2 linked regions of the Caenorhabditis elegans genome follow. The protein of the gene in region 1 interacts with the protein of each later gene in a pairwise test. Each region holds a gene or a part of one and is shown on either strand. Other genes may lie near its edges.

Region 1 (7,718 bases):
AAACTTGCAAATCATGCAAGAAATGAACAAGTTCTTCATCTGGCTCAATGCATCTGCATCAAAATTTTAATGAATGTAATCTCACGTATGTATGGAAAATTGTTTATGCAAATTCGGATGACTAGAAAACATTCAAACAAACGAGAGAGAGAGAGAAAAAAATACAAGTGAAAATAATTTATAGGTCATTGAAATATCAATGTGGGATGGAGGGGGGTCAATTAGGCTTCTCGTGAGTGGAAAAGGGATGGGATGGTGAGAAAAATGAGAATGGCAAGTAAAACCCGTTTTGAATAAGATAAAAATGAGAATGAACATGTCAAAAACTGCTGAAGAACGCCACCTTATGACACAAAACATCATTTAGGTGATTGATGACCTCAAAACGTTGGCGGCGGTCTTTTTTTTTTGGAAAAAAAAATCAAAAGATTTAAAAAAGATTTACAAAACAAATTCTAGTTTTAGATGGCACCAGGAAAATTTCAAGTATGTATCTACACATGAGTTGATGTTCGACTAATTGGTCGGACCACTTCCGGCGACGAGAGGAAGTTGTAGTTGGACGTTTTGGGAGTCTCCACTTCCTGTAGCGTCTCCATAACCGGCAATTTGTCGCTCATCGCCACGCCGTACATATCTGAAACTCCTGAAATGAGAATGAGGATGAGTTATGCACACGGTGTTATTGGTTAGGGTTAGTACCTCCAGGCGTGGAAAGTCCACTGCCAAACGATCCATATGAATGTTCATACCGGTTGTAGATGTATTCATTGGCCGAGTTGTTGAAACATTTTGGATACAGCCCTCCCGGTGGCCCGAATGATCCGGTTGCACCGAGGAAATCCAAATCCGGATTGTTTTGAGGAATCGAGATGTAATCCTGTGAAATAAATTGGTTTTATTCTTTGAATGGTGATATGATATCAGGGGGCTCAAAAAAATTGAAACTATCGTCAAATAATCCCTACGATTTTAAAAATTGATCTGCTATAAACACTAGACTAATACATATATAAACCGAATTTTTCTTCATATTGTCCAACTTTTGACCAACCTTCGTGGAGAGATGAACATTGTCAACGGGGCTGCTACTATACATCTCTGGGAAATATTGTCCATCCAATGCCTCACATTTCACTGTGACGTCAGATTGATCATCTGAAATTGTTGTCAATTTATAGATTCAACCACCTGTTGATAATAACTCACCAATAAACTTTGACTTTCTTGACCGACAATTACTTCTGCACATGCAGAGGCAGCAGAGCAGTGACACCAAAAGAACACCTGCACTTATAATTGCAAGTGCAACCATTCTATCGAACTTTGCTGTTATTACTGAAAGTCGGAAATTGTTATAAATTTTGTTTCCCTTTATTTCTTCGTAAAATCTTAATTTAATCGATACGTGAATTTGATTTGAATTTTTTGGCTTAGAAAAACACTAAACCTTAGCCTAATATGGACAAAAAGGGTCACATGAAAATTTCAAAATGGTTAACATTTTTGGGCCAGGAACTACAGGTAGATACTTTACTACCGCTTCCATGCAGGCACCAAAACGCCTGCACGCCTTGCGGCGACCTCTGCCTGCCTTGCGCCAAGAGCTACGTCTCTTGTATAGTGCGACGCGGGACCCGAAAAGTGTCAGTCACGGCGAAAGAAACACCCATTGCATTATGTGGTGGGAACACCAAGTCTTTGACTTCTCACCATAGTTCTGAAAGGAGGCGTGAGGCCGGACGGTTGGAGGCAGGTGCCAGGCCCTGAAACCGCGCCTGCATCACATGGAAGCCCTATACTCCGCAAGTTTCCAGAAAAGTTAAAACTAACCAATCCAATCTAGAATATTTCTCTTCTTGAGCAGTGTGCCTCTGTTGTCAAATCCTAACCCGTTATTTGCAGAGCAATTATAAACACCAAAGTCTTCTTCTTTCAAATCTTTGATTTTAAGAATACTTTCTTTTCCATATGGCTTGGGATATTGGTGAACCTGAAAAATCTAGTTTTTTTCAGAATTTCTCTTCAAATTCCCTACCGTAATTCTTCCATTATTAAAATTGATCTCTTTCCCATTTACTGTCCATCTAACGTTATTTGTTTTCGGACGGCCGCTAATTTCGCAAATGATCTCCGTTGCTTCATCGAGTGAAGCTGATACTTCATCTTTCATGGAGACCGTTGGTGGGCCTAAACATTTTATGTTAAACTACAAGCGCCTAATTTCAACGAGCGTACCTCTGATATGAAGGTAATGCGATAAAATTTGTTTTCTAAACCCTTCCACTGTAGCCGTACAGTTGTAGTTACCCTGTTGCCATGTTCTCACATTCTCTAACGTCAAGCTGAAATTTATTTTGTTATGATCATACATATTATCCAATGCTAATTTTCCAACATACTTTTCACCGTGCCCAATAATTTCATCGCTGTCTCCACGAGTCCAGAAAATCGCTGGAGCTGGATTTGCCAGAGTTGCACAATGAAAAAATGCATTGTCCCCTTCATTTACTTCTTTATCTTGTGACGTCGACATAATACGTGCACCAACTGTAAGAACTAGGTTTTATATGATTTTATAAATTTGAAAATATAGGTTTGAAAAAAAAACTGGGTGTCTTCTTCTTATGTCTTCTTTTCCAATGAAAAGAGATGAACAACTTACATGCCACATTCAACTTAATCGACCCGCGAGTAGTTCCAATTTCATTTGTAGCTTCACAGAAGATATCTCGATTATGATCCTCCATTTTGAGAGTTTCGAATGTTAGAGTCTGAAATAAAAATAACTGAATAGAGAAATGTTTTTGAATGTCAAATGTGAATGTGACACAATTAATTTTAAGTATAATAAATGGCTCAACAATTTACAATCCGAGCAACACTAATTCCTCTTACATCTCCAGTTTCTCTCAGCTTTTGATTCCCCTTGTACCAGCTGATCTTCACATTATCCAATGGTTTTGCATTAACATTGCATGCTAGAAGAGCTGAGCCATTTTCTCGTAGCGGAAGTTTTGATGCCACTGTTAAGTTGATTTGTGGCGCGTATCGAAGAGAAAGCTTCACAGAATCAACCTCGATCTGGAAGAGAAAATGAATAAAACAAAATATTAAAAAGCAATAAACACGCTTACTTTATTAGGGAACGTCATGTGTTGACTAATACAGATCAAGTATTTGTGGTCATCTTCGGGACGTGGTATGAAACTGAAAAAAGTTTTCGTAATTTTGATTTTTTAATAATTTTTTTTCTAACTGAACGATTTTTGTGTAGCCATTTTTTCATTCATTTCAACTTAAAATGATAATTCAATCGAAACGTGAAATTTATTTGCATGTTTAGGCTTTGAAATACATTAATCCTAAGCTTAATATGAACGGACAAAACGGTCGCGTGAAGTTTTTAAAATGGTTAGTATATTTAGGCCAAGTATACTACACAAGTACCAATCGAAAAATAACATTCTATAAAAATAACACACTTTTTTCAAATTACCGGGGCACTTTTTTATAATTTTTTTTTGAAACATAACAGCAAACTGCTATTCTAGAATTAAAGGATAAATCAATTTTGTGGGTATTTTGCTTGAATTTGCCAAAACGGCCACATTTCTTGATCATTTAGGCCAAGTATACTACACAAGTACCAATCGAAAAATAACATTCTATAAAAATAACACACTTTTTTCAAATTACCGGGGCACTTTTTTATAATTTTTTTTTGAAACATAACAGCAAACTGCTATTCTAGAATTAAAGGATAAATCAATTTTGTGGGTATTTTGCTTGAATTTGCCAAAACGGCCACATTTCTTGATCAGCCATTTCGAAAAACTTCCAAAACATTTTCATTACGGGTCGAAATTTTGGAAAAAAGAGATTTCAGGAAAATTTGGCACTTTTTTTTCGAAATTTTGACACGCCATAAGAAATTTTAAGAAATTTGTCGAGTATTTGTGAGACGTCCCATTATGAAATTCGGTCGTTTTTGGCACGTTTTAGTCTATTTCAGCAGAATACCCGCCAACTCTACTCTCCGCTTTAACTGAAATGTTTCATGTAACCAACCTCAAGTTACTCATAATACTGTAGATACTAGAGTCCTCTCGTGAATTGTTACCGCCCTCTTCAACTTGAGTGGTTTCATTTACATGTGCAATCACGGTTTCTTGAGAGATTTCTGGTTTTGCTGAAATAGGTTTTTTTTGAATTCATTTTCAATATGAAATTTTTTACCATGAATTCCTCCGAATTTTGAGCGCGATTCGCCCAACCATGAAACAATGTGCTTTCCATGCTCATCTGATGCAATTGCCCATCCTATCGTTGGAGGTGGTTTTCCTTTTCGAGATAAACATGATTGAGTTATAGGATCGCCGGCAATTGCTTTCAGAGAATGATGGCTTTTCACAATTTTTGGAGGCGTCGGTCTCACTGAAAAAAAATATTCAAAATTAAATAATGAGCAGCTCAATAACATTTTTCTTTTTATTTTTTCAAATTTCCGAATCTCATTTTCCCGTTTTTTTTTTGTTCAATGTGAACATATTCCACCGCATTCTATGAATAATGACCCCGCAATGAGATTTACAACACAACCTCGTTGCCTCAGTCCTCCCCGGTGGCGGTGTGGTTTCACCAAGAGCAGCTGCCATATCAGAGAACGGAGAATGGTTAGGAGGCAAGAAGTACGCGCGGATGCGTACCCCCTCAACAACCACTTGAGAGATAAATTGGCGCTGGCAGCACGTTTATGAAGACATTAATTGGCAGCCGCCGCGCGAATTGTCGATCTGTCATCTCGAATTTTAAAGCAAGTTCTCATTCTCAGAAAACCGGAGGAGATTGTGTGAATTTGACTTTTTTGAGACGATACAACAACGATGTAATGTTGCAGTTGATTAGTGCAAGTGCTATGTGTTTTTTTAACGTACCTAACACAGTGAGCTTTGCTTTACTCGAAACAACTGCTTTGGCGTGATCGGATTCCGAGATTTGACAAGCGAAATCATCATCATCGAATAGCGTTACATTGGAGATCTGGAAGTTCAATTTGTTTAGCAAAAAAATCTAAGTAGGTACCAAACTCTTAAAATTGTTACAAGAAAACCAATCCTAAGGAGAAATTTTTAGAGTTTTTTTTTCAGACAAAAGAAAACATAGCAATAAAACTCAGGCCTAAAATATAGTTTCAAATTGATGAACTGTAGCCCGTTAAACTCTGAATATTTTGGTTCAAACTATGTTATGGTAGCAGAAAAAATCACGAGGTTCTTTAGAACCGCTCAAACAGTGCTAATGGGCCCAAGTTCTACAGTAAAATTTTAAAAAATTTGTGAAGTTTGTTTTTTGAAATTTCAGTTTAAAAAACAGGTGAACATTTTGTTTTCATCTATTGTAATTTCGGACATCGACCTGCAGCACACCTGCTGCAATGTTCGAAATTTATCAAAAAGGTCATATTTTTTATTAAAATTTACCAAAACGTTGACTCTATATTTGAAAAAATCTGAAACTTTTAGGAATTTCTTTAAATGATATTCTGACGTGTTAAACCAAACCAACTCCTCACAAAAATACATAACAAATTTTCGTACCAAAAAAAACTAACCTCCAGATTATACTCCCCATTTGCCGCACTTCCGACCATCCTGTATCTTTTATTTCCAGGAAGTGGTTTGTCTCTATCCGTTCCGAGCCCAAAGTCATCTTTCATCCACTGTACCGGCCCTTGCTGAAAATTATCATCTTTTAATAATTTTTCATCTTTTTGCCATTCTCGCAAATCGAATTTTTCTAGAACCTGTGGAGCAGGAAATTCAATCAGAAACCGGGAAGTTTCCGAGTTTCTTGACCAGTTGCGCGCACTTCATTTTTTTTTTGCGTGGAAATGTCGAAGGTTTCAAAATTTTGCAAATCACACATCACAACTTACTTGATGTTCAACTCTGCATGTCAATATTGCTGTTTCTCCGACGGCTGCCAATGTATCCTTCGGAGCTTCCACTATTCGTTGTTGTAACTGTTGGCAAGTGACCAGTTGAAACAACAACAACAGTGGCCAGGTCTGCCACCGTACCATCTTTCTGCCTGAAAAGCAATTGTGGTGAACATGGAAATGTGTTTTTGCAAAAAGGAAGGCCGAAAAGAGAGACACGCAATATTGAGAACAGTCATTATTAAAAAAGTATTTAGAGCTTCTAGTAGGAAACTTAACATGTAGATTCTTAACGCACAGCTTTCTGTTCAAAATGTATTTTCAAAATGATTTTCCTATTGTTCTGATGCTCAATCATCGAGAAGAGAAAAAAAAACGATGGAAAGAAAGTTGAGAAGTTGAGAAGCAAAATTTTTGTGGGATAAGAAATGATGATGTGGTCGAGGCGAGACGCAAACACAGGCACACACACACACACGTTTCTCACATTGCAAAAAGTTAGCGCGAGTCAATCTCCCTGCGGACTTAGGCGGTGGTGCGGGTCCCCCCAATGCAGCCTCTCATTAAATATCGTCTAACGGGATGATTGGAGGGAATTGTCGTTAGTAGTAGTTATGTAGGTTCTCATATTGTTTTTTAGTACTTGTGTAGTATGTATACCTGCCCCAAAAATAATTTCCTATGTGTTTTCCATTCATTTCTATGGAAAATGATAATTCAATCAAAACTTACAATTAATTTTCACTTCTTGGCTTAGAAAAACACTAACTCTAAGCCCGATATAAACTAGAAGGCCACCAGATAAGTGCATGTGTAGCACTGACAAAAAGGCACTGACAAAGCACTGACAAAAAGGAACTGACAAAAAGGCACTGACAAAGCACTGACAAAAAGGCACTGCCAAAGCACTGACAAAAGGCACTGACAAAGCACTGACAAAATATTGATAAGACACTCTACTCCACTTCTTGTTCAACTCTGTTCTATTCGTGATATTCTAAATTTAAAATCCGTATAAATTTTGTTAGCGGGTATTTATAGATTACTCGACTTTTTGGAAATCGTAAAGTATATAGTTTTGGTCAGAACAAAATTGGAAAAAAGTGCCTTGCAAAAATTGGGTGCTCACAATAGGCTCCTTAAAAGTTTCCCTGTAATATTATGTTTCCACCATCACATTTAAAAGCAGACTGACCCGAAATATCCCAAAATAATTAAAGAATTTCGCACTGAAACTTCTTCAATATTTCTCGAAAATAATTTATGATGGTTCAGTTAAAAATTTCAAATTTTGGTCCCTTTGGAAATTGACTTTTTTAAATAGTCATTCTTATTCGCATTGTTTGGTAGTTTTTCTCACATTTTTCAGCTAATTATGGTACATTTATGTTACCAAAAATGATAAAATTTGGATTGGAATGTTCCTTAGTTAACAAAATATCTTGAGATAAACTACCAAAAAAGGATGATAATTTAAACAAAAAGGCAATTCCCATGCGTTCCGACATGGAAAAGTTACCAAAATTTGAGATTTTAGAAAAAATCAGGAATTTTTTCTAAGAATTTGTTTTAATTATAGAGAAGTTTTATAGCAAAATTCGTTTATTTGAGCACATTTTGGGTTTATCCCAATAACCGTAACTCCTCCAACCGTGGAAATCTTCTAGAAAAAATGAGACTTTCACAACAAATTTCCAGTTTCCGTTTTCAAAAGAAATTTGTCAATTTTTTGTTACACACATAATCTCTGGGCACCAAAACGAAAAACGAGGTGTCT
Region 2 (5,183 bases), on another chromosome or scaffold:
TACTGCAGAGAAACGAGAGTGTATGTATTCTTTGGATTTGGTTGAAGGCACCTAATTCAGATTCTCTGGATTAATTGTTCCTAAAAAATATTTTTGAGATCCTGAATCAATTTTGCAACTACATCTCAATGTACGCACCACCCAATCTGAAAATGATATCATCGGCGTTCAATTTGCTAGAACTTGGAAACTCAGCTCATGAAGTGAAAAGGGTTTTACTGAAAGCGGTAATCTAAATATTCCATCAAAAAATATAACTAAATGAAATTTTTATAGCGTCGTCGTGAAGAATCAGAAGAATCAGATGTTTCATTTTCCAAAAAGCCACGTCCTTCTTCTAGATCTCCTGCATCTCCAAATCGAGATGATCTATTGTTGGGACTCGATCGTTCTCCGCCCAGCGATGATGGAACTCAGAAAGTTTGAAATTGAAATTGATGAATATGAAACACACTTTTATTATATTTAAGCACTTACCTCGGTTTTGGATGATTTCAAACGTTTTTCTACTGATGCTCCACTTTTAATTCAGTTCTCAATTTCTACAGATTTATTATTATTATTATATCAATATTAAGCAAACCAGTAAGCTCGAAATACAACATGCAGAGGACGGATGAATTCTGACCATTTTACAATTAAAAAGCGAAACATATGAAAAGAATATAGTGCACAATTAAAAAAAGAAGTGAAAGAGACCTAAAGCCGAGTACAGTACTTTTTTGTTGATATACGCCTAGTGACTTCATCAATACTGACAAATGATCGAGTGGGGAATCTAATTAAACAACAAGTTTAGAGCTTCGTAGCCATTATGAACATGACACCTTCTCCGTCCAAAACGTATTTCTTTGCATTGGCAACATCAAGACCAACAGATACAAGAGCATCAAGAATCATCTGTTCACTGAGATTGAGGAGATGGAAGATTGTCTGTAAATTTTGATTTTTTTTGTTGGCATATACATACGAGTATTTTGGCTACGAATTTTAATGCAGGTCTATTTATACAGTTGGGTCTCGCCGCGCGAAAAAACAATCATATGTTTTTTTTTTAAATTTTGTACAAAGTTTGGAAATATGCTAAGAGCGGGTAAAAGTAAGAGGAAGTAAAAAGAAAAACAAGAAACATCCTCGAGAAAACGGTTTATCGGTTTTTCCTTTAATTTTAAGTACAGTAACATGTTAGTCTTGCGGCCCCACTGCTCCGTTTTCGAAGTTAATGTATCGCTTAAACGTCTAATATTTCAGAAAAAAAAAATACTAGCACTGTTTCAAAAAGATATGTTCTATCACAAGTCTGAATTTGTATCCTTCAATCCTCATTCCCATCGCCTAAAACCAATAAAACTTCTCTAGCTATCATATATACCTGCATCATTGACGCAATCACACAAACTGACCCCGTTAAAATCGCAAGAGCACAGATCAAATTACCAGATCAATTGGCCCTTTCCTACCTTTCTTCCCGAGTTGTACTCATCGTCCTCGAGCACCGAACCAAGCACAAAACGACCGCCGGAACGGAGATGTCTCATCTGGAATCACACAAAATCAAAACACATTTTGATTTCACTTTTTCTCATTTCAAACTATCAAATCTGGTGCCATTCAGTCGTTGGCTCATTCTCATTTCTTTTTTTTCCGAAAAACGACACACTTTACATCTTGGAAAAGATGAAAGACATCTGTTTCTAAACTCTTTTTTTTTTCATTTTCTTCGTTGGCACCGTGAAAATTGGATATAAGATAGACAGAGAAATAGAGAACGGGTGTAAAGGGGAAGTGAACACTGATTGTGAAGAGATATAGGAATATGAAAAGAAAGTTATGACGAAGTTGTTACTGGAGAATAAAATAGATCGAATTACACTTACAATAACTCTTTGAGCTAGTAGTTTACTGTAGTTTACAATTTTATTGTTCTCTATTCGAAAGAAATTCGTGTTTTGAACTTAGAAATGGAGAAAAAGAAATGTGAACCAAGATCTATCTTCAGTACTGGGATTTCAGAAACTATTTTAGAAGAGACGTGTAAAATAACCTTAATGGCATAATCAAGCTCCTAAAACGAACGATATGCTTAAGCCTAAGCCTAAACCGCAAAAATCCATTTAGACTTACCATATTAGTGACACATTTACAATACTCTTCATAGTTGCGACAAGCACTTTCTAACGTGAAGATCGACACCAGGATATCCACCTTCTTCCCAGCCAATTCAGGGACCACATCCATCTGGTGAACATCTGCGAAATGAATTCCACCAGACTTGACCAATCCGCGGGCTTTTTCTTCAACATCAATGCATACTTGATCTGTTGGAGTGGGACCTCCTTCCGTTCGGTTGATCACTTTGATAGTTGGCACCCAGTCAATAGTCTCCTCGTGGCGGATCCATTTTCTCAGAACGTCAAGGTTCCGATCGACAAAATCTGATAAGTGAACACGCTTTGCCACATCACGGAAACAAAGAGCCGAATAGACGGTTGGTCCTGCTCCAATATCCAGAAGAGTTTCACGTTCAGAAGGTCGCATAGTTTGGAGCATAAGTTGGGCGAAGACAGGAAGTGCGAATAGGGAAACACGGGTTCCATCTTCAATAGCATCTCTGGAAATGAGAAATGAAATTTTGGATATATATGGAATGTCTGATGTTTATACTCTCTCCCTTGGATTGTTCGTTCCTTGTCAGACAGGTACTTGACTTGATAGCACCCAAAAATGTGTCGTCTCATTTTCAAAAGTTTAGAGTCTAAGAGCCAATGATGCCTCCCTCCTCTTTTCTCAGTTTTTTCGATCTCTTGACACAAAAGATCCTCTCCTACTCAAAAAGAGAAAAAGGTAACCGATCTGCGACCGATTTCGTGTGCAGCAGCAACAGGAGCAAAGCCAAAGCAAGCCGGGGATAAGAGGTTTTGTTTGTGAACAAACCACTCGTTTTTGTGTCAAAAATGAAGTGAACGGTATCGAGAGCGGATAGAAAGTGCAAATCGGGATCGAAAGTTCTAGAAATTGAAGCCCGTTATTTATGAAAAATGTTTCTTCCAAGTTTTGTGGCGGCAACCTCGCGCGCAAGATTATAACAACCGACATAATACTGGATTCAAAACATTAAAAAATTGCGGCAACCGACATTTTACGGGTTTCATAACCAATTTCTGGAAAATGGTAGCTTGACATGTTTGTTGAAGCAGCCTACATGATAAGGGGCTCAGAAAGTGTTCATTGGTGGGAGGCCGACATCTCATGGGTTACATCGAACGGTCGTTGCGACATATCAAAGATTTCTGACTAACCTGCTGAAATAAAACTGCAAATACTCATCAGGATCGAACTTCTTGACGTAGTCCTCAGGCAAAAGTACAGTATGCTGGGCATCCGATGATTCCGTAATGGTAGGGTCGATGAGAGTAGACATGACGAGGTATAAATAAGAGATTAAACGACACTGAAAATATTTTAATTTTTTTGAGTCCAAATTTTTGAAAAAAAAAATCAGAAATATAACAAGGAAACAAAGCACTTTTAAAAGTCTATGTATATCTCTATTTTCTTCCGCTTTTCACATGTTTGTTTTTCCCTCAAAATCTCCAAAATTCTTAAGTTTACTCCTTTTTTCCAGAAAAACTCTAATATTTAAGTGATAACACCCACGCAGAGTGCAATTAAATATCGATACAACAATTCATTATCATCATCAAATAACAAACAATTAACAAATGAGGCATCGACACTCTCGAAGTAGCACAAAAATTGAGTGAGGTGGCTCTTGCACAGAGAGCGAGAGCATAAGTGTGTGCTCTGGCTCCGCCTATTTTTTCGGAGCTCTGGGAGAGAAGGATAGAGAGAGAGAGAGGGAAGAAGGGATTTCCCGAGGCTCCCGGCAGGAAGTGTTGGGAGCCAGACAGTGGGAGCAGGCACAGAGTACGAAGAGCAAAGTGGAAAGATGGGAAACAACAAATTATGTTATGAGGAAGTTTTTTGGCAGATTGGTTATGAAACTTTGCAGAACTTTAATGCGTTACTGTAAATTTAAGGGAAAGTAGGTTCCATCGAGCGTACTTACGAAAATTGTACTGTAGCTCACTATCAGTACACTGTACTTTCGAAACATTTTTCTGGATTTCATCTTTCTGGAATTTTTGAATTTTCAATATGGAAAAAATGTACTTAAACTTCATTCGAAAATTATATGACTTCAAAGGAATAGGGAGGTTAATCGAAAAGTTACTGAAGTTTTCGAATTTTTGTTGGCCATTTTGCTTACACAAGTGCGCCCCACTTCACACTGATGTCTCTTTTGAAAATATAATAATAAGTCAATCGAAAAATACCGATTGTGTGAATTTTTCTATACTGTCCCTATTCCCCCTTTCATCTCCCCCCATTGACCACTTCTCCCCATCCCCTCCTCCTATTATGCGTAACACCCGGCATGTCTAGGCCACGAAAGTTGTGGTTCGTCGTGCAGTCATGTCCGAGTGGTTAAGGAGATTGACTAGAAATCAATTGGGCTCTGCCCGCGTAGGTTCGAATCCTGCTGACTGCGTTAAATTTTTTTCAATTTTTTCGCACATTTTTTTCGTTGTAACTTCGAAATTGTACAAAATGAAAATATACTTGATAATAAACCAAAACGTGCAGTCATGTCCGAGTGGTTAAGAATGTCCGAGTGGTTAAGGAGTTTGACTCGAAATCAAATGGGCTCTGTCCGCGTAGGTTCGAATCCTGCTGACTGCGAATCTTTTTGAATCTCGTCAGTCGATGTAACTTTTGTATCGAAACCATTTGGAGAAAAACGATGGAGGAGGAAAGGGCGTGTTGACATTATTTTATTTATCGAAAAACTGAAAATTCTTGTTCACACGAGACCAGGCCACATATTTTCACAATGCGTCATATCAGTTGGGGGCATTGAATCATTGTTCTTCAATATTTTTATCAGTTATTCTTCAATGAATGCACCTGGGATTCCATACCTATCATCATTATGAGTGTTGAAATATTGTTTCGTCCTCTCTTCCAATCATCTTCTCTTGTTGTTAGTTCCAATGCCTCTCCTTCCTCTCATATGTTCTAACACTTCTTGTGAGACAGACAGTTGGCATAGAGTTCCTCGACGCAGATACCTATACAGTTACAACACTATTTGCCCTGGGGCGTACTTACATTGATTTTCT

Evidence for each region.
Region 2: the proteins of syg-1 (region 1) and anmt-2 interact in a two-hybrid assay, tested with the Caenorhabditis elegans proteins (one large-scale study listed by BioGRID).

The regions. Positions count from the first base shown.
Region 1 is NC_003284.9:2,509,225-2,516,942, forward strand, and holds syg-1 (Synaptogenesis protein syg-1), read right to left. Parts: upstream 6,100-7,718; 5' UTR 6,086-6,099; coding exon 5,939-6,085; intron 5,738-5,938; coding exon 5,615-5,737; intron 5,044-5,614; coding exon 4,938-5,043; intron 4,806-4,937; exon of another isoform or gene 4,627-4,805; intron 4,438-4,626; coding exon 4,240-4,437; intron 4,193-4,239; coding exon 4,072-4,192; intron 3,211-4,071; coding exon 3,138-3,210; intron 3,085-3,137; coding exon 2,899-3,084; intron 2,775-2,898; coding exon 2,666-2,774; intron 2,551-2,665; coding exon 2,403-2,550; intron 2,346-2,402; coding exon 2,239-2,345; intron 2,191-2,238; coding exon 2,039-2,190; intron 1,994-2,038; coding exon 1,834-1,993; intron 1,638-1,833; exon of another isoform or gene 1,490-1,637; intron 1,339-1,489; coding exon 1,210-1,338; intron 1,159-1,209; coding exon 1,055-1,158; intron 881-1,054; coding exon 703-880; intron 647-702; coding exon 495-646; 3' UTR 89-494; downstream 1-88. UniProt on the Caenorhabditis elegans protein: Cell adhesion protein. Involved in synapse formation in the HSNL egg-laying motor neuron. Inhibits assembly of the SCF(sel-10) E3 ubiquitin ligase complex at synapses, and protects them from elimination.
Region 2 is NC_003281.10:6,154,308-6,159,490, forward strand, and holds anmt-2 (Nicotinamide N-methyltransferase), read right to left. Parts: upstream 3,452-5,183; 5' UTR 3,422-3,451; coding exon 3,300-3,421; intron 2,612-3,299; coding exon 2,125-2,611; intron 1,539-2,124; coding exon 1,461-1,538; intron 934-1,460; coding exon 796-933; 3' UTR 537-795; downstream 1-536. Other genes in the region: rotr-1 (Nbl1_Borealin_N domain-containing protein), read left to right, coding at 99-227, 277-426.